3 linked regions of the Saccharomyces cerevisiae S288C genome follow. Changing the gene in region 3 together with the main gene of any one other region gives a genetic interaction. Each region holds a gene or a part of one and is shown on either strand. Other genes may lie near its edges.

Region 1 (3,758 bases), on a different chromosome or scaffold from region 3:
GTCAATAGTACCGTTCCAGCAGTAGTTGGTAAAACACTGGCTGCATTCAGAGGGCAATGTAGCATTCAAGTTTTGTTGCTTACGTCTGATAATGGCGCAACCAACACAGCCCAAGAAATCAGAATCATCAGTAAAATTACCCATTGTGGCAGCTTCAAACCCATTCTTAATCATACCAAGACGTTCTGAATCGGAGTATGACATCTTAAAAGTACTTTGGTTACCATTAAATGAATGTCTTGAATTTGGAATGTAAACAATTAATGGTGGAATGTACTCCAAGTCTGTCAAATTTCTTGCATCACAACCAAAAAAGGTTGGCTTTTTGTTCAACCCCAAGTTGACAAATGTGTTCACATCTGGAACATATGGGAAAGACAAATTGAGACCTTGGCTGCCAAATTGACGCTGATAAGTGTTAACTAATGAAGCACCATCTGGCCAATAGTCGTCAGTATCAGCAGAATTGTCTAATGCAAAAATAACATCTAGTTCACGTTCCTTTTGCAACAATGGAACTAAAGGAATATTTTGGTTATCTTCACCACCATCAACCAAAAATAGATATTCTGATTCGATAATACTGGAGGTTGCGTTCTTTTGAAGAAAATTAGCTTCCTTGAATGGATTTGGGGCGTAAATTGCAATATCGTCACTATTGTCGGATAAATCTTCCAGGAAATCGGTGGCTAAGTTAGCAATAAATGAAGGTAAATCGGTAGAATTCAATCTTAGTAAAAATTGGTTAAACAACGTAGATGAAGTGGCTGTTATGAAACCAGTGTTATCAAACCCGGCAATGCATTGGCCTTTATTAACTGGTTTACCGTTTGTAACGTTGGTACCTAAATACTTCACATCCGTAAATGCGTTCAAAGTGGGGTCCCATGAACCCATTTCAAAGGGATTAAATTCGAAAAGAGTGGCATTCAAGTTTATCACGGTGGTACCTGGGTATCTACCGTCTGCAACAGTGATAGGGAAGGGCATTTCTCCATTCTTGAAGACATCAGCTTCCCTTAAAGTTGACCATGTGTACCCTACACCACCACGGTGTAAGCTTGGCCAAAAATTGTACGCAAGAGCACGGCCCCAAACATCCGCCAAAGAGATGTTGAAACCGGCGTCTTTTTTATCCTGAACGTCATCTGATATGTCGTCCCATCTACTCCCAGTCTTAAAGATGTTAATGCCGTCTGGGGTAAGAATTGAATGAGAGATGTCCCAAATTGAGTTAGATTCTGTTGTATTATCCACGATAGCTTGCACAGACGTCCAGTTGTTCCAAGCCAAAGTACTTGTTAACCAGTTACCACCCGACAGACCTGCCAAGTAAGTTGCACCTTGCAGCAGCCCACCAAGACCATGCTCATTTGCGCCATCAGTACGATTGTCCATAGCAGCAAGCATACCAGCACCAGACAACATGGCACGGTAACCACCACCAGAACAGGCGACGGCAATCTTAGGCATATTGGAAGAGTTGCTACCAAAAAGAGTGGATAGCAAGGAAGTGTCACTGAAATTCGAAGTGGCCCTATTCAAAAAAGAATGCAAAGCCTCCTTGGTGTATGCATCTCTTTTTTTCAGCCATTCTGTTTCGTTATCTGACAAACCAGATGCTTCTCTGACTAAGTTAATATCATCATCACAGGTTACGTTCGCAGGGACGTAACTGTTATTTGGTGACCAAGCGTTAACGTTCTCTGTTAGAGAAGTCAAAACTGCAGCAGAAACCAACAAACTCTGCAACTTCATGGTTTTGTTTTATTTTCTTTCCCGTTTGCCCTTAGGATGGATAGCTTCGTGTAATTTACGTTATATGAACGAAAAAAGAGAGAAATGTTAAGAAAAGAACGAAGAATTGATTAGTTAGTATAACCTAATAAATGTAGAACCTTACAGCGAAGAGACGTTTCCGTTGGTTAAATGTGGTGGAAGCGTCTTTATATATTAGATGATGTAGTTTACCTAAGCAGTTAGAAGAAAATAAAGTAACCAAGTCATCTTCTAAGCAAAAATAGGAGACGTAAATGAATGTTGCTTAACTGAGAAAAATATGCGGGAATAAGCGGACATGTTACTGTATGAGGTTATTTCCCTTTATAGATAAGGGCGTAAACCGCATATAATGAGGAAAGGCGAAGTTAGAAACGGACTTTTTAGGTCGCTTTGAAGAAGTCCGTGCAGGAAACCCATGCGTCCACTTATTTTAGCACTATGTGGCATGAGAAAGCTTTGGAAGGAATAAACGTTAGGACCCCACTGCGCCGCTTTTACGCAGGGCAATTTCGGGGACAAAGGGGGCTGAAGGAATACAATTCCGATCCAAGGCAACAAGTAGGTCAGAACCCTTTATTAACCTGCGCTTGTTAGTGGCTTCCTTTGTACTCTGTCCGTAATCCAGCATAGCGCTGAATTGCTGAAAGATATGGGTAGCGGTCAGATGAGAAGGGCAATCGTCAGGACTTCTGTTGAAAAGCGGACTAAACATAGGCATTATCATTCTTAGAGTTTTACGAGCAAATAGAATCGAGTGACTTCCGTCGTTGCTAACAGGCGCAGTAATAATAACCGCGGACGAAAGCCACGCAGGCAAAGAATGCTTTCGCTGAAATATCGGAGTCTTGCTATTGTTCAGGGCTTTGCCGGTGCGTAAATAATAGGCTGAAGCGAATTTGATTTCCCGCACAAAAAATTTTTGCTCGAGTAAGTCATACATATATCTTGCATGCGTAAAAAAAATTGCAATTGCTGAAGATTGAACGACCGCCCACCGGTATTTTCATCTCTTCTAGATCAAGACTAACTGCTCGTTCAGTACAAGTATTTTACGATAGTCCATATTACTCTTCAATTAATATTTTTTTTTTATATTCTGGCCCGTTTTTGACACAATTTTTTCCTTCTCTTTTTCTCCCTATAAACTATGCAGAAGTAGCGATAATCACGATCTTGTTAATGATTCACATGTGCGCAAGTCGTATTGTCTGTCTAGATAGTGAGATGCCTTCTAAATAACAGGAGAGAGGCAAGATAGCATAACGGCGCAATGAAGGTAATTTCTGCCAGTTTTCTTTGCATTGACGACTGAAAGGGCCCTTGTAAGAGCCGCTCGACAGGGCGACGCCACAGTAGAGTCGCTAACACCGAAATATGCATATTGAAAAACATCAAAGTATAAAAGAACAAAGAGGGTGGCATCTGCAGATCAAAAAAAACAATAACCACCAAACAAGACACTAAAAAAGGTCGTAAAAAGGTCAAAAGTTAGAATGGTTAAGGTATATATTCATGACAACAAGGTTGACTCCGATTATCGCGCACCCCACAATTCTGGAACAGAACTTTCCCTGGATGAATTAGCCAAGTTAGGAGTGATTTATAAATACTGTGCAAATGAGGAAGAAGTGAATGAAATTGCTAGGCAAAGAGAATATAAAAATAGAGATGTGGTCAACATCTGCGAAGGTTCCTTCAAAAGTGAAGCAGAGTTTAATGAAAAACTAGCAACATTCTACCAAGAGCATTTACATGAAGACGAAGAAATAAGATACTGTCTCGAGGGTGCTGGATACTTTGACGTCAGGGATGCTTCCACACCAGAGAACTGGATTAGGTGTTTGGTAGAGTCAGGTGATTTACTGATTCTTCCACCAGGCATCTATCATCGTTTCACCTTGACAACTAGCAACCACATCAAGGCCTTGAGACTGTTTAAGGACGAGCCCAAATGGCAAGCTATCAACAGGTCAAAT
Region 2 (3,516 bases), on a different chromosome or scaffold from region 3:
AGTATGGGGCAACCATTTCCACAAATTTTAGTAAATCAGCCACGTTATTTACACCTACTTGGACGATTAGCGGGGTGTCCTCATTATTTGTAGAAAGGTCTGAGATTCTTGCATGCTCATTACGGACATATTCTCTTGCCAAAATCATGGGGGAGTAAACTATATCAACGTTATATTCTCGGCACAACTGACGGAATGGTAACTTGGAATACCGAACCATTGGGCCTGCAATGGTCACGGGCCGACCATGTGTCTTTTGCCTCGTCTTTATTATATGCAGTGGATCTGTTTCTTCAGTAATAAGCTTCGGCTTCGGTATCAGAACATCACCGGATGGAATATGCATTGTGTGCATTTTCTTTAGAATCTTTATTCTGCATATGAATTATAACTTTGAAGAATCCATCTCTTATTTTCATTTTGAGTTTTTTCGCTGATCATCTTTTTTTTATTCAGGGCGAAGAAGCAGAATGCTGGAAGAGCCTACTTACTTAGAAAATAACAGCTAGGTTTTAAAATTATATAGCGAGAAGTACAATTCTATCAGCTATGTTTCTTGGATTTTTCCTGACCCTTTCTAACAAAAATGAATGCAGTGCAACCTGTGATAAAAAAAAGTACACATATTATGCAATGGAAAATTGAAATGCCAATAATATAAGATAAAAATCTTTTTCGAAGCATCAAGTTTCTTAATCCCTGCTCAAAATTCATCCTAAACTTAATCCCACTTTCTGGATGTATTATTAGATTTCTTTGGGCAATCTCCGTTTTCAAGAACACCGAGATTGTTTCATATGAAGACTCTAACGATATTTTGTCCTCTATTCTTATTGTATTTAGCCATTCTTCATCGTAAACGTCTAGACGTGATGGGCCTAGTTGTTCGATCTCCTGAGGCGACATGGAATCCGTCAGTGCGAGGCAGACAATAGGTCTAGAAGTGTGAAAGATTTTTTCATCTTTGCTGTTACTTCCTCCAGGAGCACCCAATAGCGGGCCTGGACCTCTGTAAACATCAATTAACAAATTGTCTAAATTTAAATGGTCAGTTTTGCTCTGGCAATAAAGCTGTAGGTTTAGATCGAGCTTGTATTCCATGTTGTCACGCATGGGGATTAACTGTGATAAGCCATTGTCTATTGTTTGCGGCAGATCTGTACCTACCGGAATGCTTTTAATAGATTGGAAGAATTTTGTACCAAATTGTACGCCATTTAAAATGTTGAACGTATTAAGGGGGACTACGTTAGAGGAATCGGCAGGTAATAGTCTTAGGTAAAAATCGTGATATATTAAGATCGATAAAGGAAGAATGATTAGCAATTGTATCAGAAATGCAACAACAATATATGAACTCCATTGTAAAAACTGTAATGGACGGGATACATTGATTTTCATCCTTCCTATTCACTTTATCTTATTTTCTTGAAACCTTGGATTCACATTTTGATAATTTGCCGTAAGCTGTCTCTATTTTTCTGTCTTACGCGCATTTATATTTTTAATAACCTTACGTTGAGATTTTCAAATTATACACATAGTAGCAACTAATGATGAGGTAGTTATACTTAACTTTCAAAAGAGCGACTCTAGTATTAGATGAACAATTAGGTTGCTTTATATGGATGACGAAAAGTCTTATTTACAAAATAACTCTCAATAAATGTTTCTTGACCATATGGCTTGGTGTTGTCAACTTTCTAGATAATACTTATCAGCGTGATTGGATTGTAGGTTTGGGAGGAAGGTTGCTTTTTAAGTTACTTATAGTATATTATTATTGATATTGAATTAATTTACTTTCATAAGTGTATAAAATAAAAGTTCAACATTACTAACAAAACTATAATATTTTCTCAACCAATTATTAACCTGTGATAGTTGCGCTGTAATTCCAGTCTAATTAATATGCTTCGTAAGATTAATTGTAATATTTAAGTAATCTTTTAATGGTTCAATAAGATAGTTTCTGCCTAGAAAAACGATCCGACAACGTGCATGGTAATTCACTTACAAATACACAGAATTGCAGATAAAAAACGGAACCTTTTATTTAAGATTTAGAGCATGAATAAGAAGAATTAAAGTTTCTTTTCTTAGAATAAAAATAGTTTTTAATACATCAGAACAGAAGGAAGTAAGTAAAGCCAAAATATATATAGTAAAAACACAGTAGTAAAAAATGAATAGTAAAAAACACACAACAATAATACTAAAAGGAGAGACCAGACAGAGCGCAAATCGTTTTCATGACGGAGTATTTAGAGGAAATGATGACAAAACAAGAAAATGTTATTCTATTATAAGTTCATTTTTCAATAATAGATATGCTTTTTATTTTTTGAAATTAATGGTAACAGTCGAAGAGCACAGCTTTATCATGCATTTTCGTTCAAAGATGATCACATAAATTGCGCCCAACAACAAGAGAAAGAGCGGCCGCTCGATGCATGAGTCGGTAACGGTAGAATTAGTATCTAAATAGCATACTAAATCAATTCAGTAAAGAAACAATTATATCTTAGTGAGTGGAGTGGCCCCTGTGATATTTTAAACCGTTCAAGTTCTTATATCTCTTACCACAAACTTCACAACGGTATGGTTTATCCTTTGCAGAGCCCATTCCATCACCAAAAGAATCTGTCGAATCTGGATCTATTACGCTAAATGTACCGTCAGGGTTTTCATGTAATTTTTGATTCTGATGTCCGTGCAACCTATGGTACTTCAAACCGTTTTGGTTTTTATAAGTCTTTTCACAACCAATAACTGGACACTTAAAGGGTTTTTGTTCCTCATGATCCATTACATAGAGCCTTCTCGCAGGATCGTCTATATAAGCTTGCTGAGGCATCTTGTAATTGTTGTTATGAACTGATTTTCCATTGGAACTGGAGCCATTTTCTGTGTCATCGTCATCGTCATCGTCATCGTCATCATCAACATCATCGTCATCATCAATGTCATCAATGTCTTGATCCTCGACCATGTTTTGAGAAGATTTTGCGTGTACGGAAGAATGAAAAGTATTGTAGTTGTGAGAACCTGTAGTTGGATTTACGACAGAGTTCATGGAATTGTGGTTACTAGGGCCCAAAATATCATCATCCATAAAACTTAAATCTATATCTTGGACAAGTACCAGAGGTGATAAATCGGTTTGATGAGGATCAATTTTTCTTGATTGATGTTGAATAGGATTCCTGGACGTTTTGTTCAAGGAATAGTTATTAAAAGTATGTGGACGATTCACCATGGCGTTTTTACTACCCATGTTAATATTAGAATTGTGTGAGGTATTATTATTGATATTGATACCACTATTATTGTTACTGTTAATTTGTTTATTGTGCGGAACGTGTCTTGATGGAGAATTGCTCGTTCTTAAAAACACATCATTCGTTGAAACGGCATCGACTAGATTACCATTCAGATGTAGTTGTTGAGAGTGATTAGCCATAGATAAGCCCGAGTTGGGGGCACCCGTTATAGATATCACATTTGGATTTGCAG
Region 3 (3,543 bases):
TCGACAGATGGATCAAGTAGTAGTCAATAGCCATTGCCTCTGTAAGCGTCCACTCGTCATGCGGTCCAACAAAAGTTGGGTACTTACGCAAGGGAAACTCCCTTTCGTAAAGTTGCTGAGCGTCACTTGGATCAGCAAGCTTAACGTCCAGCTTCAAGGAACGCACTAAACCTCTTGGCACAATGGTCCTAATCAACTTTCTCTCCTTCAAATCAGTAAACAGTGTTCCGTCAGACATTTGTAGTTTTCTACACAAAGATGCCGAAATCAATGATGAGCAAGTATCGAGTTCGCTTCGCACTGCTACATCTAGGCTTTTATAAGGGGTGGTATCGTTTAAAGGTGCGGCTATTAAAAGGGATGAATACGTGGGAAACGGTTGCATTACAGGAAAAACAGCTTTTTATCTTATTATATCTTTAAATATGTACATACGCTTGTTTATACGTGGAGGCGACAAAAAGGGTTGGTTGAAGGGAGAGAGAAAGAGACGCACAGAGATTGGAGGAGGGGCTCAGTTCGCTGATTGTTTCTTCTTCTGTGTTAGGTTTTCCAAAGTTAACCTGTCGTTGTCGTCGTCATCTTCACTGGGAGGCGTTGAGTTAGTGTTTGAATCTGAATCTGAATTTGTATTCGTGTTGTTAGAATTTGTGTCTTCATCATCTTCCTGACTGAAAAGATTTCCATTGTCATCCGGTGATTTAGCGGTAGAGTTTTCGCCCGTAAATTCGTTGGCAAACTCTGTAGCCGGAGAGGCCTCCCTGATTAGCTTCCTAGTAAACGGATCATCCAAAAAATTCTGTTTTCTTTGTCGTTGATTTTGTTTCTTTAATTCATTGCCTATTAACTTGGAGTAGAGTTTTTTGCCCAACGTTTTCTTTAGCAAGATTTCACGGACTTCGAAGTACAAGTCTCTGGAGGCGTTATTCAAATTTGTCTGGTTTTTCTTGAAATATGACCTGAATTCATTGATGTGTTTTTTGAACTCCAGTTCGTTTTTCTTCAACCAAGAAACGTTCAGCTCCTGTCTGGTAGCACCCCTTGCAAAGTTTCTCATCAAATATTTGTCATAATCTCTGATGATCTTTGTGATAATATCACTTGTAGAGACACCATTGGTTCTTTGGGTAGTCAAGAATTTTCCCATCTCCTTTATTGGCTTGTAGATATCGTCGCTGTCGGCGCTAACGTAAGGAATATCGTCATGTGCCACGTAGTCAATCTTGTGTTCTAGTAGAAATTCTGGGGTGACACACCAGGGAGCGTTGGGCACGACTTCGTCAACCCATCTGCAGTGCGTTAAAGTTTCACAACGCTGCTTATCGGTCAGCACAGTCAAACCTTTTAGTTTGTGAGTGATTTTGTCGCTAGGCACACCAACTATCAGTGTTACATTGGGGAAAGCCTTCTTACACTGTTCCAGTTGCTTCATGTGGCCAAGATGGAAAAGATCAAAAACACCATCTGCATATATCCTGATGGGTCTATCCGTTGGAGGCAAATTGAATCTGAAACCTTTAGGACGATACTTGCGCAGTTCCTTGGGCAACTCGTTGGTGTAACGAGCCTCCTTCTCTTCAAACTCCTTCGTCAACCGGCGACGCTTGCGGGGAGTGAGCTGTGTGTCCTTATTTTCATCCTGGTTCTTACTCTCATCCTTATCCTCATTGTCCTGCTCTTCCGTTTCCTCACGCTGTCTTTTATTTTTATTTTTTTTAAATAGGTTTGATAGCGATGAGTTAGAAAGCTTAGCCCTAATCGAGGACTTCCCTGTTGTTGGGTTTGCCATTTTTCTTTGTGTCTGCTGTGCTTTGTACTACCAAGAGAGAATAGCAAGAGTGAAATTTGAAAGTTAAACAATACAATAAAGAAAAGTGACTGGCGTATGCAAGAAAGGGGAATGGGTATAAAAAATACAAGAACGGCAGAAAAAATAAAAGAAACAGGAGAAACAAACAATGGTAACTGTACTAAAACCAATACCAGATATATATTTCATACTTATTAAAAAGCGTTAAGAAACGAAGCGTAAAAACGTAAGAAAAAGAATGACTATATAACGGTAGGTCTTCGACTCATTTTTTTCTTCCTACATGCAAACGACAAATACGGGTAATGCACATTTCGCTTATTGGGTTCTTCCCTTTCCTTTTTTCCATTTTTTTCTTTCTGGCTGTCGCTAGCCTTTCTACTTCCTCCGCACATACAGTTTTCAGCACAGTATAGATAGCTGTGCAGCCAGATAGAAGCAAAAGAGAAGTCAATTGCAAAAAAAATATGGACTCGTACTCAATAACAAACGTAAAATACCTGGATCCGACTGAATTGCATCGTTGGATGCAAGAAGGACACACTACTACGCTGAGGGAGCCTTTCCAGGTAGTGGATGTGCGAGGCTCAGATTATATGGGGGGCCATATCAAGGACGGATGGCACTACGCCTATTCGCGCCTTAAGCAGGATCCGGAGTACTTACGTGAGCTAAAGCACAGATTGTTGGAAAAGCAAGCGGACGGCCGCGGAGCGCTGAACGTGATTTTCCATTGTATGTTATCGCAGCAGCGCGGACCGTCTGCAGCGATGCTGCTGCTTCGGTCGCTTGACACGGCGGAACTTTCTCGCTGTCGTCTATGGGTGTTGCGTGGGGGGTTCTCGCGCTGGCAATCCGTATACGGTGACGACGAGAGCGTTACGGCGGGTTACCTACCCGATCTGTGGCGTTGACAGGTTTACACAATCGCACGTGATCATATATTTGCCATGACTCCTCCCAGTGACAATTTTGTTCTTTTTTCCTCTTTATCGCTTTCGTACTATGGTCAGTCATTCATTCATTATATACGCGCTCTCCATAACCCGTAACTTTTTATTATATATAGACTCGTTTACAATACAACGATAGCGATACCATTCAATTGAAGTTGTGAGACCAGGTAACGAGACGAACACAACTTTACAAGTCAAATAAGAAATCATGGCTGGTCAAGTGTTGGACGGCAAAGCATGCGCTCAGCAGTTTAGAAGCAATATTGCTAATGAAATCAAAAGCATTCAAGGTCACGTGCCTGGGTTTGCACCTAACCTTGCCATCATTCAAGTAGGCAACAGACCAGACTCAGCCACATATGTACGCATGAAGCGTAAGGCAGCTGAAGAGGCCGGCATTGTTGCTAATTTCATTCATTTAGATGAATCCGCTACTGAATTTGAAGTTCTGCGTTACGTGGACCAGCTGAATGAGGACCCACATACACACGGTATTATCGTGCAACTACCATTACCCGCTCATTTGGACGAGGATAGAATCACCTCGAGAGTGTTGGCAGAAAAGGACGTGGACGGGTTCGGGCCCACCAACATTGGCGAATTGAATAAGAAGAACGGACACCCATTCTTTTTGCCCTGCACGCCCAAGGGGATCATTGAGCTGCTTCACAAGGCCAACGTCACGATTGAAGGTTCCCGGTCCGTTGTGATCGGAAGATCTGACATTGTTGGCTCTCCTGTTGCAGAATTGTTAAAATCTCTAAACTCCACCGTCAC

The links.
Region 1: of PCT1 (region 3) and PLB1, changing one enhances a phenotype caused by changing the other (phenotypic enhancement), as found in Saccharomyces cerevisiae (one study listed by BioGRID).
Region 2: of PCT1 (region 3) and SEI1, changing one suppresses a phenotype caused by changing the other (phenotypic suppression), as found in Saccharomyces cerevisiae (one study listed by BioGRID).

What each region holds. Positions count from the first base shown.
Region 1 is NC_001145.3:280,827-284,584, forward strand, and holds the start of PLB1 (lysophospholipase), read right to left. Parts: upstream 1,759-3,758; coding exon 1-1,758. Other genes in the region: YMR008C-A (uncharacterized protein), read right to left, coding at 2,255-2,722; ADI1 (acireductone dioxygenase (Ni2+-requiring)), read left to right, coding at 3,276-3,758. UniProt on the Saccharomyces cerevisiae protein: Sequentially removes both fatty acyl groups from diacylglycerophospholipids and therefore has both phospholipase B and lysophospholipase activities. It also displays transacylase activity.
Region 2 is NC_001144.5:926,628-930,143, reverse strand, and holds SEI1 (seipin), read right to left. Parts: upstream 1,402-3,516; coding exon 544-1,401; downstream 1-543. Other genes in the region: DUS4 (tRNA dihydrouridine synthase), read right to left, coding at 1-355; zinc-coordinating transcription factor SFP1, read right to left, coding at 2,525-3,516. UniProt on the Saccharomyces cerevisiae protein: Involved in lipid metabolism and lipid droplet (LD) morphology, number, and size. Facilitates initiation of LD formation, and ensures that vectorial budding of LDs from the ER is directed towards the cytoplasm.
Region 3 is NC_001139.9:902,960-906,502, forward strand, and holds PCT1 (choline-phosphate cytidylyltransferase), read right to left. Parts: upstream 1,790-3,543; coding exon 515-1,789; downstream 1-514. Other genes in the region: YGR201C (uncharacterized protein), read right to left, coding at 1-238; phosphatase YCH1, read left to right, coding at 2,278-2,724; trifunctional formate-tetrahydrofolate ligase/methenyltetrahydrofolate cyclohydrolase/methylenetetrahydrofolate dehydrogenase ADE3, read left to right, coding at 2,975-3,543. UniProt on the Saccharomyces cerevisiae protein: Catalyzes the key rate-limiting step in the CDP-choline pathway for phosphatidylcholine biosynthesis.